3 linked regions of the Lytechinus pictus genome follow. The protein of the gene in region 1 purifies or fractionates together with the protein of each later gene. This does not show direct contact. Links are inferred from orthologs where the notes say so. Each region holds a gene or a part of one and is shown in the gene's direction. Other genes may lie near its edges.

The links.
Region 2: the proteins of LLGL scribble cell polarity complex component 2-like (region 1) and partitioning defective protein 6-like purify together in Drosophila melanogaster (affinity purification with western blotting; 5 studies listed by BioGRID, with this or other methods). This does not show direct contact. The link is inferred for Lytechinus pictus from reciprocal best matches to the Drosophila melanogaster genes l(2)gl and par-6.
Region 3: the proteins of LLGL scribble cell polarity complex component 2-like (region 1) and protein kinase C iota type-like purify together in Drosophila melanogaster (affinity purification with western blotting; 6 studies listed by BioGRID, with this or other methods). This does not show direct contact. The link is inferred for Lytechinus pictus from reciprocal best matches to the Drosophila melanogaster genes l(2)gl and aPKC.

Annotation. Positions count from the first base shown.
Region 1 is NC_087254.1:8,879,476-8,886,428, reverse strand, and holds the start of LLGL scribble cell polarity complex component 2-like, read left to right. Parts: upstream 1-3,951; 5' UTR 3,952-3,966; coding exon 3,967-4,374; intron 4,375-5,084; coding exon 5,085-5,292; intron 5,293-6,953. UniProt on the Drosophila melanogaster protein: Essential for the development of polarized epithelia, for cell polarity associated with asymmetric cell division of neuroblasts during development, and for oocyte polarity formation.
Region 2 is NC_087246.1:69,801,053-69,808,319, reverse strand, and holds the start of partitioning defective protein 6-like, read left to right. Parts: upstream 1-4,193; coding exon 4,194-4,271; intron 4,272-7,267.
Region 3 is NC_087258.1:8,748,278-8,755,776, reverse strand, and holds the start of protein kinase C iota type-like, read left to right. Parts: upstream 1-4,421; 5' UTR 4,422-5,022; coding exon 5,023-5,080; intron 5,081-7,499. UniProt on the Drosophila melanogaster protein: Serine/threonine protein kinase which is required for apico-basal cell polarity in the germ line as well as in epithelial and neural precursor cells, for epithelial planar cell polarity and for cell proliferation.

The DNA of each region.
Region 1 (6,953 bases):
CATAAGTGGAATGTCAAATATAGTATTTATATATACTTTTAAAAAGGATTGGTAAAAAAAACCAATGTGTTGTTGAATGTGTATTTGATCTGATCAAATTATTATTTAGAAACGACCCAAAGTTTGATTGTGACCATTATGTTTGGTCGAACACACATTCACCAACAGAATGGAATTTAGACCAATCCTGTTAAAGAATTTACCCCCTGTACTTAATTGGTTTTTGCAGATGACTCCATGACAGTTGCATACGCAGGGGGGGGGGTGGGTTACAGGGGTTCAACCCCCCTTAATTTTTTATACCCCCAAGATTTAAAAAAAAAAAAAAAAAAAAATTTGAAGGCCTTTTTTTTGCTTGTCAATTCTTTTTGAGGTACGAAACGACGTTAAATTTGTGTTGAAGACCCTTTTTTGTCAACATTTCATTCAGCTTGAAACCCACCCCCCTTTAAAAAATCCTGCTTACACTACTGCCCCATGATGACTCTAATTATCAGCTAGTAGTATTCAAATTTAGTAATCATGCTCAGAAATGTCTTAAATGTCTGACATGATTGGGGCTTAGTGCTTACAATAGCAGTCCAGAAAACACACCCTTTCTGTTGCTGTCATTGTAAAAGAGGATTTTAAGTTATTGATCATAAGCTTACTAACCATGTTTTATACTTTGAAATTACTATTGAAACTGTCATGTTTGTATGCTGTTAAATTGTTACTTACTTTGTTCATGATAACGAACAATATTAAGAGTGACGTAAACAAAAGTCAGATGTTAGACCCTACCCTTCCCACTCCTTTCTACACCCTCTGTAAGGACACTGTTTCTCAAAAGTAACTAAGTAAATATTATGGTATGTATCTTTGCCATCCAGTGGAAACACCCATGAAACCACTGATTCTAATTGGCTGTTTAGCAATTTTACAATGGTAGTTATCGTGAAATGGTGTTCATGTAGATACCATAATAGTAACTGTTGTTTTATGAAACAGGGTCCATAGCCTTGGATACCCAAGAGTTTGGCCAATGGTCTCTCATAATTTCTAGATTACTATTATCCACCCCACCTAAAGTCTACCATCTTCCCCATATCCCACCATCTCCAAATTCGACCATCTACCACAGATTTTGCCATCCACCCGAAACTCCACCATTCCACCCTAAATTCTACCACCCACCCCAAATTCTACATGTACATCTACCCCAAATTCTACCATCTTTTCCAAATTTTACACTCCCATCCCAAACTTTACCATCCCATCCCGAATTTTACCGTCCCAACCCAAATTCTACATCTACCCCAAATTCTACCATCTATTCCAAATTTTACAATCCCATCCCAAATTTTACCATCCCATCCCAAATTCTACATCTACGCCAAATTCTACCATCTATTCCAAATTTTACCATCCCATCCCAAATTTTACCATCCCATCCAAAATTCTACATCTACCCAAAATTCTACCATCTATTCCAAATTTTACCATCCCATCCCAAATTCTACATCTACCCCAAATTCTACCATCTATTCCAAATTTTACCATCCCATCCCAAATTTTACCATCCCATCCAAAATTCTACATCTACCCAAAATTCTACCATCTATTCCAAATTTTACAATCCCATCCCCAATTCTACCATTCACCTCAAATTCTACCATTCTACCCACTATTCTACCATCTATCCCAAATTCTATTATCCTACCCCAAATTCTATCATCTATTCCAAATGTTACCATCCCATCCCAAATTTTACCATCTACATGTACCCCCAATTCTACCCTCTTCCCCAAAATACCATCCTCCCTATACTCTACCATCTACCCCTTATTCTACCATCTATCCAAAGTTCAACCATCCCATCCCAAATTCTGCCTCTGTCCCAATTTCTACCACCCCACCCTCTCCTATTCAAACACTTTTGTGTATACTGCTTGATCCCCCTTCACCACCCCTCGTTTATCTGTTATCAAATATAGTAACTAATGATACTATCCTTTGCTTTGGACATCATAAATTTTCATCTTTATTCTTTAACGACTGCATGAATATCTGCGATACTGTTGCCTCTCATAAACTGCAATTAACTGCCATCCTGTTCATTTCTCCATTTAGTATGTACATCTGTTCTGTCGCATGAAAGCGCTTCATTTCAGCAACGTCAGAATAATGTCATATTAATGTGTCATCTACAACATGCATCGATGTGTGCTCTTAATGCCAACTGGCATTAAGGGCAGTCGTACTGTAGTACTTTTTTCTTTTGAAGCATAATTAAAAGCTTGATAAAATTATCACAGCCTTGCTTTCATGATTACAGCTTTCCACTAACCAATCATTTAGAAACAGAGAGTAGAAGTTATAACAGTGAAATTATAATTGATACAATTTAGTGTATGAATAGATTGACGTACCTGGTGTGGTTTCTTTCGTGTTGGTGTCATGAATACATGTAGTTATTAATGCATTATCATTTGCAGCTGTTTGATATAGAATAATACTTTGTTGAAGTTATTTTGCAGTGGAGGTTATTTTTTCAGTGAAATATGCACCTTAACAACTGCTTTCTGACACTTGTATAGTTATAACAAGAGTAACCTCTTAACCAGCTCGAACAGGATAATTCTATAATGATATCATTTTTGCTGTATTTATTTTGTGCTTTATTGAAATGGAACAGGGGAAATATTTACTTTGATTTCCAGTGTAGTGATGTATTCAAAGTACATGTAAATGAAAGGAGAGAGCACGTGTAGGGGAGTATGTTATGAGTCATTGTAAACATTTCAATTGTATTCATTGTGTAGCGTTGCATTTGCATTTAATCCCTGAGCAAAACTTGGGTTTTTAAACTAACATTGCCATACATGCAGTTAATTCATGGATATCATTATTATTGATACTAGATTTATTTTAATCATCAGTTAAGTTGTCATTTATGTAATACCAGAGCCCCGTAACACAAAGGTTATCGATTAACCGTTAAATGAAATGGCCTATCAAGATCTTTGTTACATGCACATTTTGCTCAGTAGAGTGACTACGAACCAATCAGAATTGCTCTTTTAAATTAGTGATTATTCCCTAACCTTTGTGTTACAGGCCCAGCTGTTGAACATGGATGTTATGAGTTTTAATTTTTCCCTTCAAAAGATATCGTGCACCAATTTAATGGTTGAAATATTAAAAAAAATATATGTGATTATGAAATATACTGGAAAAAAAATCCAATATCAATTTGTTTGATAGTTTGATAGGAGACATCCATTTTCAAGCGTTCCTCTGTTTATTATTCATTTGCTTTAGCCTCATTTATAATCATAGTATTAACTGATCTTGGGTAACTGGTGACTTATTACTACTTCATTGCTTTGCTTCATCCCCCCTTTTTTTACCCCCACCCCTTTCCATACCCCTCCCTCATCTCACATCATCCTTATCATCTCATGTCAATGTTTACCTATTCTGTGATTCCATCACACGTCTGATACTCGTCTTACTACTGTCATAATCCTCTTTTATTTTCATTTCGTAATGTCACATTATTCATTTCTGTATACTACTTGTTTATATGTTCATTGTTTCCATGCCAACAATGTCTTCTCCCTTCTCTGCCTTTCACCCATTCTCATTTATATCTTTGTACTCGATCTCGTTGCTTATTGTTTTGCATGATTCCTTGATCATCCTGTATTTAATTCCCTTTTCCTGGATGAAACTATTTGTCACACCACCATCCACCTACTTTCCTCTCTTTGTTGTTGCTTCTGCTTCTTGTACATCAAATTTATGTCGACTTTCCACCCTCTCAAATCCCCATGTGTCATACATAACCCACATATCATCTACCACAACTGTCCTTTTATACCCTTGAATATCTAATCACTCTATTTGTTCTTTGAACTCCCCCTCCTCTAACATTTGTTACCTCTCATCCTCACAATATTGTACTCATCCCTTCTTCCCCTAATGTCAATAACCACTCTCGAAACCGTACTGCTCGACATCTTTGCAACCACAACTTCAATACTCCCTTCCGCTATCGCTGAATCTACTCCCTATCCCTTCAATAAACCGTCTACCATTTCCACAATACCTCCATCCATCTTTTATCCATCATACCTTCCACTTCATTCACCTCTCTTCTACCACCCTTTAACCACCATCGTCACACCTCCACCCCTACAACACCCCTACTACACCCCCACTACACCCCCACTACTCCCCTCCACTGCTTGGACCACCACCTGTTGGGTGTGTGGCATGGCCCCCCTAACCAGGTTAAATGATTCTCCATCTTCCAGTGTACCTGATGACTTCAAGGTGAACCCCGGCGCAGTGGAGGCCATCGCCCAACACCCCAGTGACAAGGATAGAGTAAGTATCCTATTCCTAGAAAGATATTTCATGACACCCGGATATCATTTTTTTCTTTGCTTCTTTGGAAAGTCAAGATTGATAGGTTTTGCAGCTACCATAGCCTCTCTAATGTGGCATGTCACACCTTTGCCTGTTTGGCTTGTGTATCGCCACATGTCGCCTGAACACAGACATATGCAGTCGCACCTTATCAAGCATGTATAGAGAACTCTATAATGTTCTCTAATACATGCCTGCATTAGTTGCTTGCAAGTTATGAAATTTCTTATTTGAAGCTCATATTCTGTGTTTTCTGCCTGATTTACCTTGTATGAGCTCATCGTCATTTTACAATAGTTGTTTGTTTTTATTGACTGCAAAATGACGTGGGGTTTCATACCAAAAACTGCCCCTGGACCATCATCGATTAAAAAAAAAAAAAAAACAACTATGAAAGTAAGATGAAGGTACATGTATATAGTCTAAGTATGAGACTGTTTCTATGGTCCTTAAAGCGAAAATCACACCACCGAAACTGATTCCAAACTGACCGATGGGATACCATTGGAATTAACGTAAATAGACTTGGTCTGTCTGAAGTACATGTATAATGGTTCAACTAAGGCAGAGTTCATGGTTCTTCCTTATTTTCGTATAACAGTAGAACCGTAATTCTTCAAAGCATTGTGCATTAATGATGAATTTTTCCCTCTCTTTTTGGTACACAGCTCTTGATCGGCTACAACCGAGGACTGATGATCATCTGGTTCCAGAGTGAGCTGATGCTTGAAGCTTCGTTCGTTGGTCACCAGATAGAATCTCTATGCTGGCACCGGGATGGAACCCACTTCACCAGCTCTCACAATGACGGTAGCTACCAGGTTTGGAAGGTCTCCGGAGCATCCTCACCGGCCAAAGAACCTCTGGTGCCATACGGTAAGAATTAATCTTCTTCCTGGTAGAGGAAAGCTTTTCAGTGTTGCATATTGGGTAAGCAAGTCTAGCATCCTCACTGGCCAAAGAACATCTGGTACCATTCTGGTAGAGGAAAAACTTTTCACTGTGGCATAATGAAGCAGGAGTAGCACCCTCACCCGCCAAAAAACCTCTGGTCCCATACGTTCTTTCTTCTTCCTGGTAGAGGAAAACTTTTCAGTGTTGCATATTGGGTAAGCAAGTCTAGCATCCTCACTGGCCAAAGAACCTCTGGTACCATTCTGGTAGAGGAAAGCTTTTCAATGTGGTATATTAGGTACGCAAGACTAGCATCCTGATGGCCAACAAAACCTCTGGTGCCATACAATAACCTTTCATTCCTCTGGTAGAAGATAGCTTTTCAGTGCGGCATACACATGACATTTGCTCTGGCGACAATTGCTCCGCTCTAAATTCCACACAATAATCGAATGACCAACTTCAACCCTGGGTTTAACACTATACCCTACCCTAAACCTAACATAAATTTCCATTGCAAGCCTAATCCTACATCTTAGACAAAATTAAGCCCAGAGCAATTGCCGCAGGAGCAAATGTCGTGTCACCTTCCTGACTACTGTACTTGGTGCACCTTGGGTTTGCCTTTTCTATGAACCAAGTTATAACCTGAGCATAGGATTTGTCTTGGCTGGTTAGGAGGTTTATATTTGCTTGAAATACAAGCAGTTGGTCTATGTCTCCAATACTAGTAGTCTGATACCACATGTGCTAAAACCTACTTGATCTACCATCAATATGGGCCGATTTCCTTTTGGCCTACACTACACTTAGTCTATACCCAATAAGCCAGTTCGTAGTTCCCATCTGCGCATGATCAGAAGATTCTGCGCATGATCAGAGGAAGGTCATTTGTACTAAAGTGACATGGTGGTTTAAAATTTAATGAGATAAGCACCAACTTCGATGTCTTGATTATTCATATATTCTTTTGAATATGTTTTTCATTCACATCCACAAAAAACAATGCGTCCACGAATGACTGGTATATTTCACAGTTTGCCAAGTACATTGTACAACATCGTCTAATATGCATTCAAAGTAGAATTCAACAAATACCTTCATAGAGTGTTCATTGATGTGCTATTCTAGTCACCTGGTCTATTCAATTTCTTCATCCCGCTATGTAAGGCATGCATACGTAATATCTTGCTTTGAAATCTGCCTATCTTAATGAAAGAAATGAAAGGTCATTCGACCAAAATTGTCCATGAAGTAACTACAAACTGGTCTATTGTATAATTACCATTTATCAAAATTCCTAGACGGTCTAATCTCCACTTGGAATCCTAATTATTTTGGACTTTGTTGATTGGTAAATGATGTATCTAGTAATGTATAATAAGCAGTATTAGACCAAATGGATATTAGACAAAATGACTACAGACTTAAACTTGTAATGAGTCATAGTGGTAAATGGGCCAAATGTCAATTAGACCAATCGGTTAGTAGGCAAACTAGGATTTAACCATGTGGGATAAGACCAGATGGAAAGGAGACAAAGCAAGGTCTAGACCGAATGCCAGTTAACCGATGGTGAAAGTATGAATTGAAGAATACTGAACCAGGATACTGTAAGGTTTCTCTCCGTACAGTTCATACCT
Region 2 (7,267 bases), on another chromosome or scaffold:
ATTGCATATTCATGATGGCGTTCATAATACTGTTTTCGCAAAAAATGATATTGCTTAAATTTAAAATTCGCGATTTGTGATATTTTCAGTGGGTTGCTCGGTGAATTTTACTCTTCATTTTATTTAAATATAATTATTTTTCAGCCAGGGGTGCCCTTTTAAACGTACGGTTAGGCCTAAGATGTGTCTATTTAACTATTATAGTCGAAACAAAAAAACTCGAAGGATTCAAGTTTACTTTATCAAGATTTTGAAAACATATTTGCTGTAAAAGGCCTTCACTTTGTACATCTAAATGTTAGATCTATTCTACCAAAAATTTCAGAACTTCGAATTCTTTTTAAGAGAAAGAATCTTGCAGTCATTGCTTTCACAGAAACATGGCTAAATAACTCGGTGAACGATGAAGAAATCAATATAGATGGATACAAAGTAATACGCAATGATAGATTATCAGGTTCTGGGGGTGGTGTATGTTTTTATGTCCGAAATGATATTGCATTCAATATCATAGATGTTTTAAGTACAGGTGATTCTGAATCACTGTGGATTAATTTGCTTCTACCAAGATCAAAACCAATTATTGCTGGCGTCATTTATAGGCCTCCGAAAAGCAATCAATTTATTGAGAAGATGTCAAATATTCTCGATATATTAAAGAAAGATGATGAAATTATACTTTTAGGCGATATGAATGTTTGTCTTTTTCAGAAATCTCCACTGGCTAAAAAATATACTGACTTATTGAGTCTTCATGGATTTAGCCAACTCATCAAAGATGCAACCCGTGTCACTCACACATGTTCTTCTTTATTGGACCATGTGATTTGTAATAACGAACAAAAAATAAGTCAAAGTGGTGTTATTGATCTTGGTATAAGTGACCATTCTTTTACTTTCTGTACACGAAAGAAAATTAGGCTGGCTATAGGTGTTCACAGAACCATTGATATCAGATCGTTGAAAAAATATAGCGAAGAATCTTTCAATCTTAAACTGTCTGCCGTTGATTGGTCAGATTTAACCCAATGCACTGACGTAAATAAGGCTTGGTCAGTTTTTCAAAATACTTTTATTTCAACGTTGAATATGATAGCGCCTCAAAAACGGATTAGAATTAAACAGAGATCAGAAAACTGGATGACTAAAGATATTATTTCTCTTATTCGAGAAAGAAATGTGGCGTATAAAAAAATGAAGAAAAATCTAAGCGGTCAGGATTATGACACGCTTTCCAAAAGATACAAGAAATTAAGAAATATGGTTCAAAGAGAGGTGAAAAAGGCCAAATTAGAATACCTACAAAATAAAATAGAAGAAAATAAAAATGATTCTAAAAGACTTTGGCAGAATCTAAAAAGTTTGGGATTAAAAAAGAAAAATGGAAAGGACCAAGAATTAGTCGTTTCAATTGACGGAGAATTATGTCATGATAAGATAACTATTTCCAATGAATTCAATTCCTATTTTACAAATGTCGCAGCTACGTTGGTAGATAAACTTCCATCTTGCAAAGATATTTTCAGTGCAGACAGTGAAAACATTCGTAAATTTTATGAAAAAAAGGGTATAAGCCAAGATAAATTTGAATTATTACCTGTTAGTGATCAATTCATTTTTAATGAGTTGCGTAAATTAAATGTATCAAAAAGCACTGGGTTAGATTTGATACCTGCTAAATTTCTAAAAGAAGGAGCAAAGAGTTTGTACAAACCATTAAATTTCTTAATAAATCTATCTATCTTTACTAGCACTTTCCCAGAGGATATGAAAATTGCAAAAGTAACTCCTATTCATAAGAAGAAAGATAAAACTGCTGTTGAAAACTATAGACCTATCAGTGTTTTAAGCATAGTATCCAAAATTCTAGAAAAGGCGGTATGTGTTCAGATCGAAAAATATTTTAAAGAAAATGATATGATTTACGAGTCAGGTTTTCGACATGACTATTCGACTGAGACATGCCTTATTCACTTGACTGATTATCTGAGAACAAATATGTCTAAGGGACAATTCGTTGGGATGGTACTCCTAGATCTTCAAAAAGCATTTGATACAGTTAATCACGGCATCTTATTGAAAAAATTACAAATAATGGGTTTTAACCAGGCTACTGTAGCATGGTTCAAATCCTACTTGTCGAATCGACATCAAGTAGTGGCTATTCGCGATATTTGTTCCAAAATTATGCCTATAACGTGTGGAGTTCCACAGGGAAGTATTTTAGGCCCAATCCTATTTTCAACTTATATCAATGACATGTCTATTTGTTTAAAAGCTGATTGTAAATTATTATTGTATGCAGATGATAGCGTACTACTTTGTTCAAATGCCAACCCAAAATTTGTTGAGGAAAAACTTAGCGAACAGCTGTCTACATGTGTCGATTGGATGACTGATAATAGATTATCGTTACACTTAGGCAAAACCGAAAGCATTCTGTTTTGTTCTAAAAGTAATCATAAAACTTCATTTGAATTTGAAGTATCATACAATAATAAGATAATTCATAGGAAAGAATCTGTAAAGTATTTAGGCATTGAGTTGACTAGCTCCCTTTCATTTTCATCTTTAGTAGAATCAATCGTAAAAAGGGCGAATGCCCGTTTGAAATTTTTGTACAGGTATCAAAGTTGTATGGATCAAAAAGCAAGGCGTATTCTCTGTTTTGCTCTTATTCAGAGTTTATTTGACTATGCCAACCCTGCTTGGTTTAGTGGCATAAGCGAACTCGATAAAAAGAAGTTGAAAATTATACAGAATAAAATGGTTAGATTCATTAGCTGTTCTGGTCCCAGAACCCATGTTGGCTACACCGAACTCTCTGGAGCAGGTTTTCTTGAAGTCAACAAAAGATCAAAACAGCTTATTTTGCACCACGTGCATAAAATCTATCACAATAGATCGAATCATTACATTGGATCAAACTTTAATCTAGTTACCGAAATACATAACTATAATACAAGAAACAGCCATTTCAATTTTTGCTTACCAGAAAGGGTAGGTAGTATTGGTAACTCATTTTATTACAATGCTATAAAACATTGGAATTCCCTTCCCAATGATATAAAGGAAATAGGAAACTTTTTGCATTTTAAGAGGAAATTGAAAGAATATCTTTCACTTGAGAGTCAAAAAGAAGATGCAAATGATATGTTGTACGGTTGATTTAGCCTGAATACTGACCTAGTTCTTTTCTCTTCTCTACTTGGTATTATTATGTATTTTACATAGTTTGATTGAAGCTTCGATATGTCCTTTCTTCTATTCTTTCTATTTCTTTTATTTCTTCCTATTCTCCTCTTCTTGTTGTTATTGTCGTCACGTTTATGCTGTTGTTCTTCTCCTTATTTATTTCCCTTCGTTGTCAGTTTCTTCCGTCTCCTTCTACTCCTCGTCCCCCTCTTCTTCTGTTCCTCCTCTTCCTTCTCCTTCTTTTCTTCTTCTTCTTCGTTATATTCTTGTATATATCTTATTTATTGTCTATATATCTTATTTATTGGTAATAGTAAATTCTGATTTTTTTTCTTCATTTTTAATATGTAAATAGTATAATTTTAACATTTTATTATCTTAATTCTGTATATTGAGGACCCCACTGGAAATAAGCTTTCGAGCTTTCGTGGGTCATCCTGTGCAAGCCTGTTGTTTTAATGCTACTGTATATATGTTATGGTGACTTGCCAAATAAAATCAATCAAATCAATCAATCAATCAATCAATCAATCGAACCGCGGACTTCGTCATGCAGATACCACTATAGTGTCGAGAAGTTAAAAGGAAATGGCGCCATCCTACACTTTGCACGCCCAATCCAAAGGTGTGTCCCTTTATGACTCAACTTTGTTCTCACACACACCCACATGAAATAGAATAAATTAATTTTTTCTAATTGATGATGTTAATTAACAGAGCCTTTTCTCTAGAATACATTGAAGAAAAATACTGGGGAAATTCGATGTTGAAACAAGGGGCACCACGGGGGCACCAACAGTACCAAGTTGACTGGTTGGCGGAAGTAATTTGGAAGTGGGTTTATATCTGACGTCACAGCCAACTGATGTATCAGCGACATCACATCAACCCGTAATTTGTCAATTTGATTACCTCTTTGGAAGGAAATAGGAAGCAATAGGATTACTCTTTGGAGAATTGATGATTTCCCGCTTCAAATGCGGGATTCGGTGGGCATTATGGCGAAAAATGGATCCACGACAATGCTCAATGGGAGCAACAGATGGGCTAAAGGACTGAAAGAAATCAAAAGCAAGGTGAGTATTTCATTGGTGTTCTCTCAGACTCATGTCTCTGCTCTAGCACTGACACTACCGGTACTCTGTCACAGCAGGCTAGGCCTCCTTCGCGGCCGCGGCGGAGCCGGCGCCCCTTGCCCTTGCTGCTTGTTGCCTGAACAGGCGCTGTCCTCTGGCTCGAGTCTAGACATGGACCAAGATGAATGTTATTAATTACTAACTAAGTCACTATTATTGATAACTGCAATATTATTTTCTTTATCATTTTGAAAACACGACCCAGCTGCCCAGTGTAATAACTTCAAGTCCTTTTCATGAAAGAATCGTACCATAAAAAAAGGAGAATGATCGATACATCATACCGGGCGTAAGGACATTTAATATTCAACCCGTTTGGAGACTTTCCTCAGATATATAGAAATATGGAATTTACCTTAATTTCAGACCTGTCTTATATCCAAGAGCAAATGCTGGTTATTCTTTTTGGAATTTTGCATTATTTTTTTCTTCAACCCGTCGACGCGACTGCCGGGGCGATCAAATTATTCGGCGATGGTTTTGGCACTAGTAAGTACATGTAGTATTCAACCTGTCGCCAGTCGGAAGATTTTTTTTTCAATTATGGAATTGGAAGAAGATCAGAAGGACAAAAAAGAGAAAATAGACATACATAGTTCTAAGTAGGATAAAAGAGAAGAAGACAAATGGAGGAAGAGAAATAGTAGGATGAGGAGAGAATTTTGAATGGCCATTTTCATTTTGGCAGGCTAAAAAGGTCTTGATGGGGGCAGATCACCTATCATTAAGTTCTTCCCATTCATTATTTGCACCACTCTATAAAATTTGAACTACATTTATACAGTGCTTCCCAGAAAAAACGAAACCGAGGTTTAGTGATGATTTATCATAACTTAATCATAAATCTTCTCTTTCAGAAGGTATAACATACAAGATTTCTCATCCACGCATGAGTGAGACAGTGGGTAAAAACAATTTGAAGAAAGGATAGCAAAAAGTCATTTGGCGGGGGGTATCAAAATTAAAAAAAAATCACATGCCTAAAAATTTAAATATCTGTTTTTTAATGTAGCTAAATCGCAGAAAATGGTCAAGAAATAATAAAGCTATGGTTCTTCAAAATAATTCTTGTATTTCCATAATTTCATGAAACATACATGTTTTCACCGGTTTCCCGCAGAAGCTATCGCACGGTTAACAAAAGACTTTATGCATGGCTGATCATCAACAAAACGGATTGTCAAGTAAGTCTGAAAGTTATCCAGTATTAAAACCTCTTCATTTTATGAATTATTGGACTTCAAGCCTTATTTCAAATAAACAGAACTAGGTTTAATACTTCTTGAACGTTTTCTGTTATTGAGGTATCAAATTAAAGAGCAGATATTGAATTTTTTAATGTGATTTTTTTTTTGAAACTCAGATACTGCCCGCCAAGTGACTTTTTGGTTTCCTTTCTTCAAATTTTTTTTGCTCACTCAGGCATGAATGATAAATAATCTTTTTTCAAATGAAAGAGGAGACTCTTCTTTACAATGATAGGTCATTTGTCTATTGTATTTGTGATTAAGTTATGAAAAATCATCGATAAATATCGGTTTCGTTTTTTCTGGGACGCACTGTATACATGTAGTTCAAATTTTATAGAGTGGTGCAAATAATGAATGGGAAGAAATTAATGATAGGTGATCTGCCCCCATCAAGACCTTTTTAGCCTGCCAAAATGAAAATGGCCATTCAAAATTCTCTCATCCTATTTCTCTTCCTCCATTTGTCTTCTTCTCTTTTATCCTACTTAGAACTATGTATGTCTATTTTCTCTTTTTTGTCCTTCTGATCTTCTTCCAATTCCATAATTGAAAAAAAAATCTTCTTCAGCCTGGTGTAGTACAGAAGTAAAGTTAGTACTGTAAAACTATGGTACCATGCCATACAGGTACAATGAATCGCCTTCCTATTGTGTAGGCTACTCTACATACTCTGGAACTCATCCTTGCAAAGGGAAAATATCATTCTGAGCAAAACTTTTTTTTTACAGAAAAGTGATTTTTTTAATGCAAATGTGAATATTGGAGAAAATTATTGAGTGGCTGATGTAACATTCAATTACATGCCTATTCTGCTTTGTATCTGTCGCAAATTTGTAATACACTTGTAAAACTTTATACTAGAGACTATTTTTAGTTTTGGTAATACAATCATAGAGAGCATGTATTACAGAAGGAGATCCTTCTTCCAATTCCTCTGTTAATCCTTTGTTATCGCTTCCCTCTGGCGAAGGAACGATATCTAACATCAATCGGCAAGCCGCCAGGCGAAAGTAAGAGCCCGCTTACGTAACGCAATAAGCCCGCTCGTAAAATCTGAGGTCAGTGATTTTTTTTAAGGTCCCTGCGAGGCACCGCCGAAAACGACGTTCTTCCACATAACTTCGAGCTCTGTTTTTTTCAAAATCGAAACACGACTTGCTGTACTTCCAACATCCATATCACTTCGTACGGATTTCTGTACGTCTTTGATGTATGGTTGAACTTCTGAGATGATCCCCTTTGCATACATACCAAATACGTCACAATCTGATTTGACTCAACAAAATTACAAACGGAGGAACTTTAGAGATTGGTCATTTTAGGTATGTCTGTCTTTCTTCCGTAGTTAAATCTTTTCCTGCTCGTACATGTTTTAGAAATTATAAGGTGAAAAAGCATACTTTGAGCTTAATTTTTATGCAAAGATCATTTGCGTGATTACAATGGCCTTGATACTATAACGACGAATCTACGATCCATTTCTACGTCGATTGATGCATCGTCGAGTATCTTCCAGTGCCCCACGTACTCCTATTTGTGTAAGTTGAAGGTGAGTGTGATGGTTGAGCTCCGAGCTTGCGCACCCAGCTCATTCATACAGTACAGGCCTCAGCTCCGGACCGTTTCGGAAAAACCTGAATTGACTCATTTGAAGAGATAGATCTAGACCTAACTTTTATGATATTT
Region 3 (7,499 bases), on another chromosome or scaffold:
TTTTGGAGAAAAAAAAATTCTACATATTTTATGTGAATAAGGCATCATATACTTTTTAATATACTTTTGTGATTGTGAGCATTTTTCTTTTTGGGGTTTATGAAATGATAATGGGGTCTGGACATGAGAGACTAGATGTGGGAGTGTCCAGGAAACGCTGGCCTGGGATGGAGGGATAGGGAGATTGAAGGAAGGCAGGAAGGAAGGAAAAGGGCGTCAAACCTAAACCAGGGCTTGCAATCTCCTTTCGTTCGTTGCTCCCCCATCGTTTGTCCCGTGGTGAGGTACCCCGTTCAGACAAGAAACAAGAGCTCATTTTTCTTTCAAATGTGAATGGCAAATAGGCATTATTGAAGCTTTTAATTGTTTAATCACAAGGGCTTTTTATTTAGAAATTTAGAATAGAAAGATGTAGATACTAAGATAGAAATATATCTTAATTTTGATTAAAAATCTGTTGTGGGAAAGGTGGACAGATAATTCAAAGCTTTTAGTTCTAGATCTTTTCCATATATTTTTGAAGAACATTGGAAAAAACATCCACTGTAAAAGGATTGCTTTTCAAATGCACTCACAATTTAAGCTATAATGACACAAAAGTGGCAAGACAGCAGAAATATTTTGTGGTGTAGTCCCATTCATGCATTTATATGTTTGCAGTGCATTAAAATTCTCAGCAGGTCTACTTTAGTCAGTTTTGCAACATTGACTACTTTAGTCAATTGCAAAATCTTACATCATTATGATATTTGATAGTTGTATGTAGAATAATCTGCAAATCTATCAGGAATTAGATGTTTCCCTATTTTCTTCAACCTTCAAATATCTTTAAATCCAAGACCTTAATACGAAGGGTACAGCATAGTCCTATATGAAGGGTCAGAGGTCTCAACTGAGATATAGTGATAAGTGATTATATCATAGAGATAATGGCCTCGTTATCAAGCCCAGTAAGAGCAAAGAAGCACAGCTGACCTGATTAAAGTTTATTATTTGACTTTTAATGATGTAAATTGGTTAGGGAAAAGCAGATAAGACACCCTTGGCTGTGTGTAGTGTAGAAACATCTATTGGCTAATTAAACACGCAAGCTTAGGGTATTTGCACTCTTCCTTATGTGGTCTGTTCATATTTTCACCAGTGTAGCAATCCAATGCCAGTTAAGCATTTGTTATTCTGCCAAAGTGATGAAAACCTCTATTCTTGTTATGCTAACAGGCCGCTGAAAGGGTCATACCCCACCCCCACTTATTTTTCAGTATGTATACAGAAACTTGAAAATTACCCATTTGTGATTGTATACATGTTCAGCCCCCCCCCCCCTCCTTTTCAAATTTGTTCAGCGGCCTCTGCATAGTTTTGGCACAACTATATATTCAATCTGGTGTTAGTGTAAACCGTCTATCTGTGTTGGTTACAGCATTGGACTGGCATCAGTGTTGTGTTGGTGTTGGTCTGCTCCTGGACAGGGTGCGAGTCTGGTGTAGGACTCAGTGCTATTGTGGTGATAGACTAAGTCTTATGTTAGACTTGGAGTCGGTTCTGTATTAGACTTGATTTCTGTTGTTAGACTTGACATCAGTTTGGTGTTACAGTCTGGTTTCTGTCCAGCGTAAGTTTAGTGTCATTCACGTATCAATCTGGCGTTGGTTTGCATCATCATTATGACTGCATGCTGTAATGTCTCTTCTGCATTTCCTCCATGTCCAGTAAGGTCACTCATAGTACAACTGTCCATTGAGTGACCTTATGCATCAGGCATGTATGCACACCACTTGGCAGTGTTCGACACTGAAATATTGTTCAAATAGCTGTAGCTGAAAACCACCACCAATCGACCATAGCATATTTTTATGCCTGCTTGGCTTTGAGCAAATAAGTCATACATGTACAATTCATATTCCACGGCAATAACATCTGACTCAAGAATGGAATATTTTTTGGTGATAAAGGTAAGGTATGCATGAGTAGTGAATGTTTGATTAAAGGCCTACCACAATTCAAGGATTTGATCAAAATAGCTATCACACCATTCTACACGTATCAGTCTATGTGGAAAATAGTGTTGGAGTCATTAGTATTGGTGTGTAAACGGGAGACTCTTCGTAAGGCGAGTGGAGAACACAGAAATCTGTTCGACTTAGCCAAAATTTAACTTTTAAGATGTAAATGAGCATTGTTTTATGGAATCTGGTCTGAAAGTGAAACAATGCTTCAAGTTATTGACTTATCGATTGATTGATTATTTGATTGATAGATTTCATTTCTCATGATAAAACACAGTAAAAAATAAGTGCATATGGAAGGTTGACTCATATATAATCTACTGTACCACTGGATGGTAATTTGTATAAGATTTCTTTTTTTTTTAAGAAGACTAGGATATTAGTATAAAAAAATATGGTGTTATGATGTCCTTCACACTTGTGTTTTCTACGCATACTTCTCCAGGGATTGGTGTGAGATCTAAAAAAAAATAACGTCTCCAAATCGTTGTTTCTCATGGTCTGAACACAGTGGTTCCCTTCTCACCTGTCTTTGCTACACATACTCCAACCCTCAATGGACGGAGATCCATTTGGCGCGCCCCAATTTGACCGATTCTCTGGGGTGCGCGGTGACATTCCCACGTAACGCATACGTCGGTATCGATCCAAGCGTCAATTATGTAAATCACATCTTTTCTCTGGACAATTCCGGAGCATGACCAGACATTTTGCCGGTGTATTCATGGGATATCGTTAGTGGATTCTCGGCTATAAATGATGAAATGATGCAAACATGGAACCATATTGAAAAGCAATAGGCGTACATGTTCTCTGTGCATTTTCTAATAGACAGATTAAAGATTAGATTTTAAATAGCTGTCTTTGAATTTGTGAAGACAAAGACAAATATTTATCTAGTTTTGAGGTTACTTGACATTACAATTTTCATAAAGCCATGGATGCTTTTAGAACACTATTAGGGATAAAAGACTGGACAATTCAGCCTTATGACATATATTAAGTGGTCATTAATCAAAGTTTAGATTCATAAAAGCATGAATTTTAGCATTGATTCCCTTCACACAATTGAACATTAATTATGTCAGGTTATTGGGGGAAAATTTGGCTGCAGTCCCATGCCTTCAATTCAGTATTTGCTTGAAGATCATATTTCCGCACTCCTTAGTAGCTAGTCTAACCCTGACAACATTTGTGCATTAATTTCCTTGAGCCTCGCCTCATGATCATGACCAAGAGGTCTTCAATTAATTAGTTCCTTCTCATGTTTCCTATAATGACTGCCGATGCCGACCATGACCAAATTAAGATGATCTTGAGGAATTGTATAGTGCCTACATGTATAGAGACTTGACAGATAGCACACAGATGCATTGAATACACAGTACATCACATAGAGATACATGTGCAATTTTGTTGTCATATATTGTTTTTGATGCTACTAAAGTAATTTTCAAATTAAATGAGCAGAAATCTTCAAGTTGAAATGGCTACATTTTTACACAATAAATTGAGAAAAATATAATCGGGACTCCTTTTCCACTGCTTTTATAAGTAATACTTTTTATGTTCATTCTAATTTCATATTTCAGTGGCGATATATTTAATTGTATTCAAGTAATTAATACTAGAAAGTTTATTTATAATGATTCTGATTGATATAACTTGGTAGTAATCTTTGCATCAATATTTTTTTTTACTGTACTTAAAATAAAACCTAATGGGAGTCTTAGAAAAATGTAACAGATATTGAGGATATTATTTAGGGGAATTTATAAACATTGCATGGAAAATATAACTTTTTTTCTAAATAAGGCACATCTGTTGGTATTCTCATAATAGTACAGCTTATTACCCCTTTTGGAATTATGATAACAAGTTTGTGCAGTTACTGTATATAGTGTCATTACTGTACTGTAAGTAACATTTAGTGACTGCATGTCTTCATTTGATCTGAATAAAAATTGAATATCGTGGATTTGCAATAAATCTGTAAATAATTGATAGTATGCCTACCAAATGAATAATATCTGATTTTCTGACAACATTATTGAATAAAAAATGTCATATTCGGTGAGCTGAAAATAAAGGTCATCTGACCCAGAGTGAAGGGGCAGGAGGGGGAAGGGAGCGTGATTTATTCAGTTGGCGTACAAATATTCTGCTAACAAGATTAGGAGGCAACAAGTTATTGTTTATTTCAATGAAGCAAGCTAATTATAGACTTCCCGCTACTATACATGCATGATAAAGATTAAATGTATATCTGTCTCGTAGAACGCACAAGTATGCTGTGTTACCCCCAGGCCCTCGTCCCCCTCCCCCCAACGATTGCTACATGGGGTGACGGGGAAGGGGGATCGTGTGGCTGTCATGTCATACGCGTCGTGCCTGCGAGTCAGCGAAGTGACAGCTGAGTCGGTCTTCCTCTCTCGGAGAGCCGATACATTTGGCCGGTTGACGCTAGTACTTTAGAATGTTGGCATGAGCTCACGCTTTGAAGATTTCAATCAAGGATGCACATTTGCTCTCTCACTCATCCAACAAGAGAAAGACAGAGCGAGAGAGAAGGACAGTCTGAGGATAGACATCATGTGTCAAGCTTGTATGTTTCGTTGTTTTTAGATTGATTTAGCATTCCTGGCATAGCAGCACAGTGCTTTCATTGCATTAACCGGTTGTCGACGGTTGCTTGCTCTGTGTGTTCACTCAGTGTACATTCCCCATAAGCAGAATGTGTAACAGCGGTGGGATACTGCTATTTGTATGTGGTTTGCGTGCAACCTTCTCTCAGCCCATCATGCATTCATGAGTCGAGAGCCAAGCCTGTATACCCCCCTGACACAAACATGTTTGCGTTTCCAACCATATTTTGTGGACAAACACGAAAATGAAATATTAGTCAGTGAAAATAGGCCCAGCTGCAAGGAGGATCTTCATTACTGTGTAGCTCATTTTGCCATGGAATCACGCGGATAATTTTTGTCTCTGGAAATCACTCCTTGGCGTCGCACAGATGGACATCCGAAAGGCGAGGATACTCTTTCAAGGGTACGTTCTCCGGCTGGTGAAATGTGAGTGATGAAATATAGACGGGTGAGCGAGTGTCGTCGATTTCTCTGAAATCTGTTTGCTTGAATGTAGAATCCTGTGTAGCTCCTGTACTGTCTTTGCTGTCATGTGGATCCATACTAGATAGTTCATTACCAGTCCGAAAGAATCTCTCAAAGCAGGTTTTGTATTGAATTGCAAAATCTACCAAAAGGATATGGTGGCTAACACTACTAGATCTACATCTAGTAGGTTTTTTTATATCAGAAAAAGTAGGACATGATTGTGTCGTGTATTCCATTTCCCAGGGAATGGTTCTGGCTGTTTTCAGAGAAAATGAAATAAATCAGGCGAGGGGGGAAAAGGATAGAATCCATTCTTTCTCACAATTTGATCGATAACAATGAAGCAGAATGCTGGCATGAACGAATAGATTTTGGTTGTGGCATGTGAATATAATGATGCTAACGCTGTATGGGAAGCTGTGTGGGAATATGCATGTGAATTGTGGGTAAAGTTGCAGTACACGGTAAGTTGGCAAGTTTCTACTGTCTTAAAGACAATTCCCTGAATTTGACATTGGTTTAAAAAAGACAACATCTCTGTTATTTGGAATTCAATAATTGTCCCTAAATATAGTTTCAAAATGTCACTTGCCATATTATGCCTTTAGGCCCTAATGTAGGCCCACTAATAACAAAAACCAAATGATGACCTCTTTCCTTTTGAAGTTGACTACAAACCAACAATAAAGAAGGTTTAACTTAATTGCTATTAATTATCAGAGGTAACAATTATCAACTCAAACTCCCTCCTCGTATATATATTCAAGCCTTATGCATCAGAGAAATGGAATCCCCCGTCTCCCTCTTAAAGTATAAAATCATATGCATAAACTGCATACAGACTAGTCACTGAACCTGGAGGTATGTGGGGCGCTCAAGGCCGACACCCTTGCAGTTGTCATTTCGATGAATCCCTAGGTCTCTCTGTCTTTGAACGATAAACAAGTCCTATAGATGAGACATAAACAGAGATTGACTTGCTAAACCACACTGGTAATCACACAGTGCTGTGTAGTATATGGAGTACTTAAAAAATACATATTCCATATGTTGGCCTTTTTACTTTCGCAGGCCTACACTGCCCATGCAATTTGTGTCTTTGCTGCCTGGCTTTAAAATCACTCGATGGAGATACGTGTAGTCTATGATGAGCTAGCTTTCAATTAAAAATACACTGCATTATTGAATGGGTACTCTTCTGGCCTTTCCAGTGCCTGGGTCCCTTAACACAAAGGTTAGCGATTAATCGCTAAATGAAATGACCTATCACGATCATCGTTGCATACACATTTTGCTCTGTTGATTGATTAAGAACCAATCAGAATTGCTCTTTCAAATTAGCCATTAATTTGCTAACCCTTGTGTTACTGGGCCCTTGTCAGGCTTTGCTTTCTCATTCTTGGAATCTGCATCAAATATTGAAAGTCTCATTTGGAGCAAAGATGAACAAAAAAATATATTGAAGAAGCATTAAAAATGAAATGAAAGTATTAATAGAGAGAATAAAAAGGTCCATTGCAAATTATTTATAAGTTTATACAAATACCCTGACAATCATCTGATCAGTGAAAGCTGGAATGGTCAGGATGACAATTTGTAGTCTCATACATATGTGTTTGTGTGCGGTCCATGGCTGTGGAATCAATCAAATTACACTATCATTATAATTTGAATTATTGTTTTATTATTTTAATTATTGCTTGTTTGATCAATCTACAAAAAACATATAGCCTATGATAAACAACCATTCGTACCTACAGTTGTTAATAAAAAAAATAACAATCAATTTTCAATCATTTTGAGCCTTTTTTTCCCTTCACAATTCAGCTATTAGTATCAGGCAGAATTGAGGTTTATCTTTAACATTCGAATATGCATTTGTTCAGTCTTCTAATTCAAGAAAAATGATGTTTGGTTTTATATTTTCAATTTCCTGTGCCTCATCTTTATCTCCCAATAAAATATGCCTCTTAAATACATACCTTCATTTTTTTTGTGGGTTTTGTAGAGTCTAGCAGGGATCTCTCTGCTCTCCTTATAGTATTTTTCTTCCAGCTCATTAATCAGTCCATTAGTATGAGAGCTCTCAAAATGCCATTGCTGTTTAGGGTAAATATCGTAGATTGCCAATCTACTATTTATACACCTTTCCATTTACTCAGTCCCCATTTTTTTCTTTTTACTCCATGTTTCTATACTTTTCTATCTTCTGTTGCTTTGCAATTTATTGTATAAATTGTGAAAATCTTTTTTAATTATTGATTGTTACCTATAAGCCTACAGTATATTTGAAATGTGAAGATAAATAGACCTTTTCCCATTTGTGCCTACAAAAAAATGACTATTTGAAACGGCCTGTAATATGTAATACATGTTA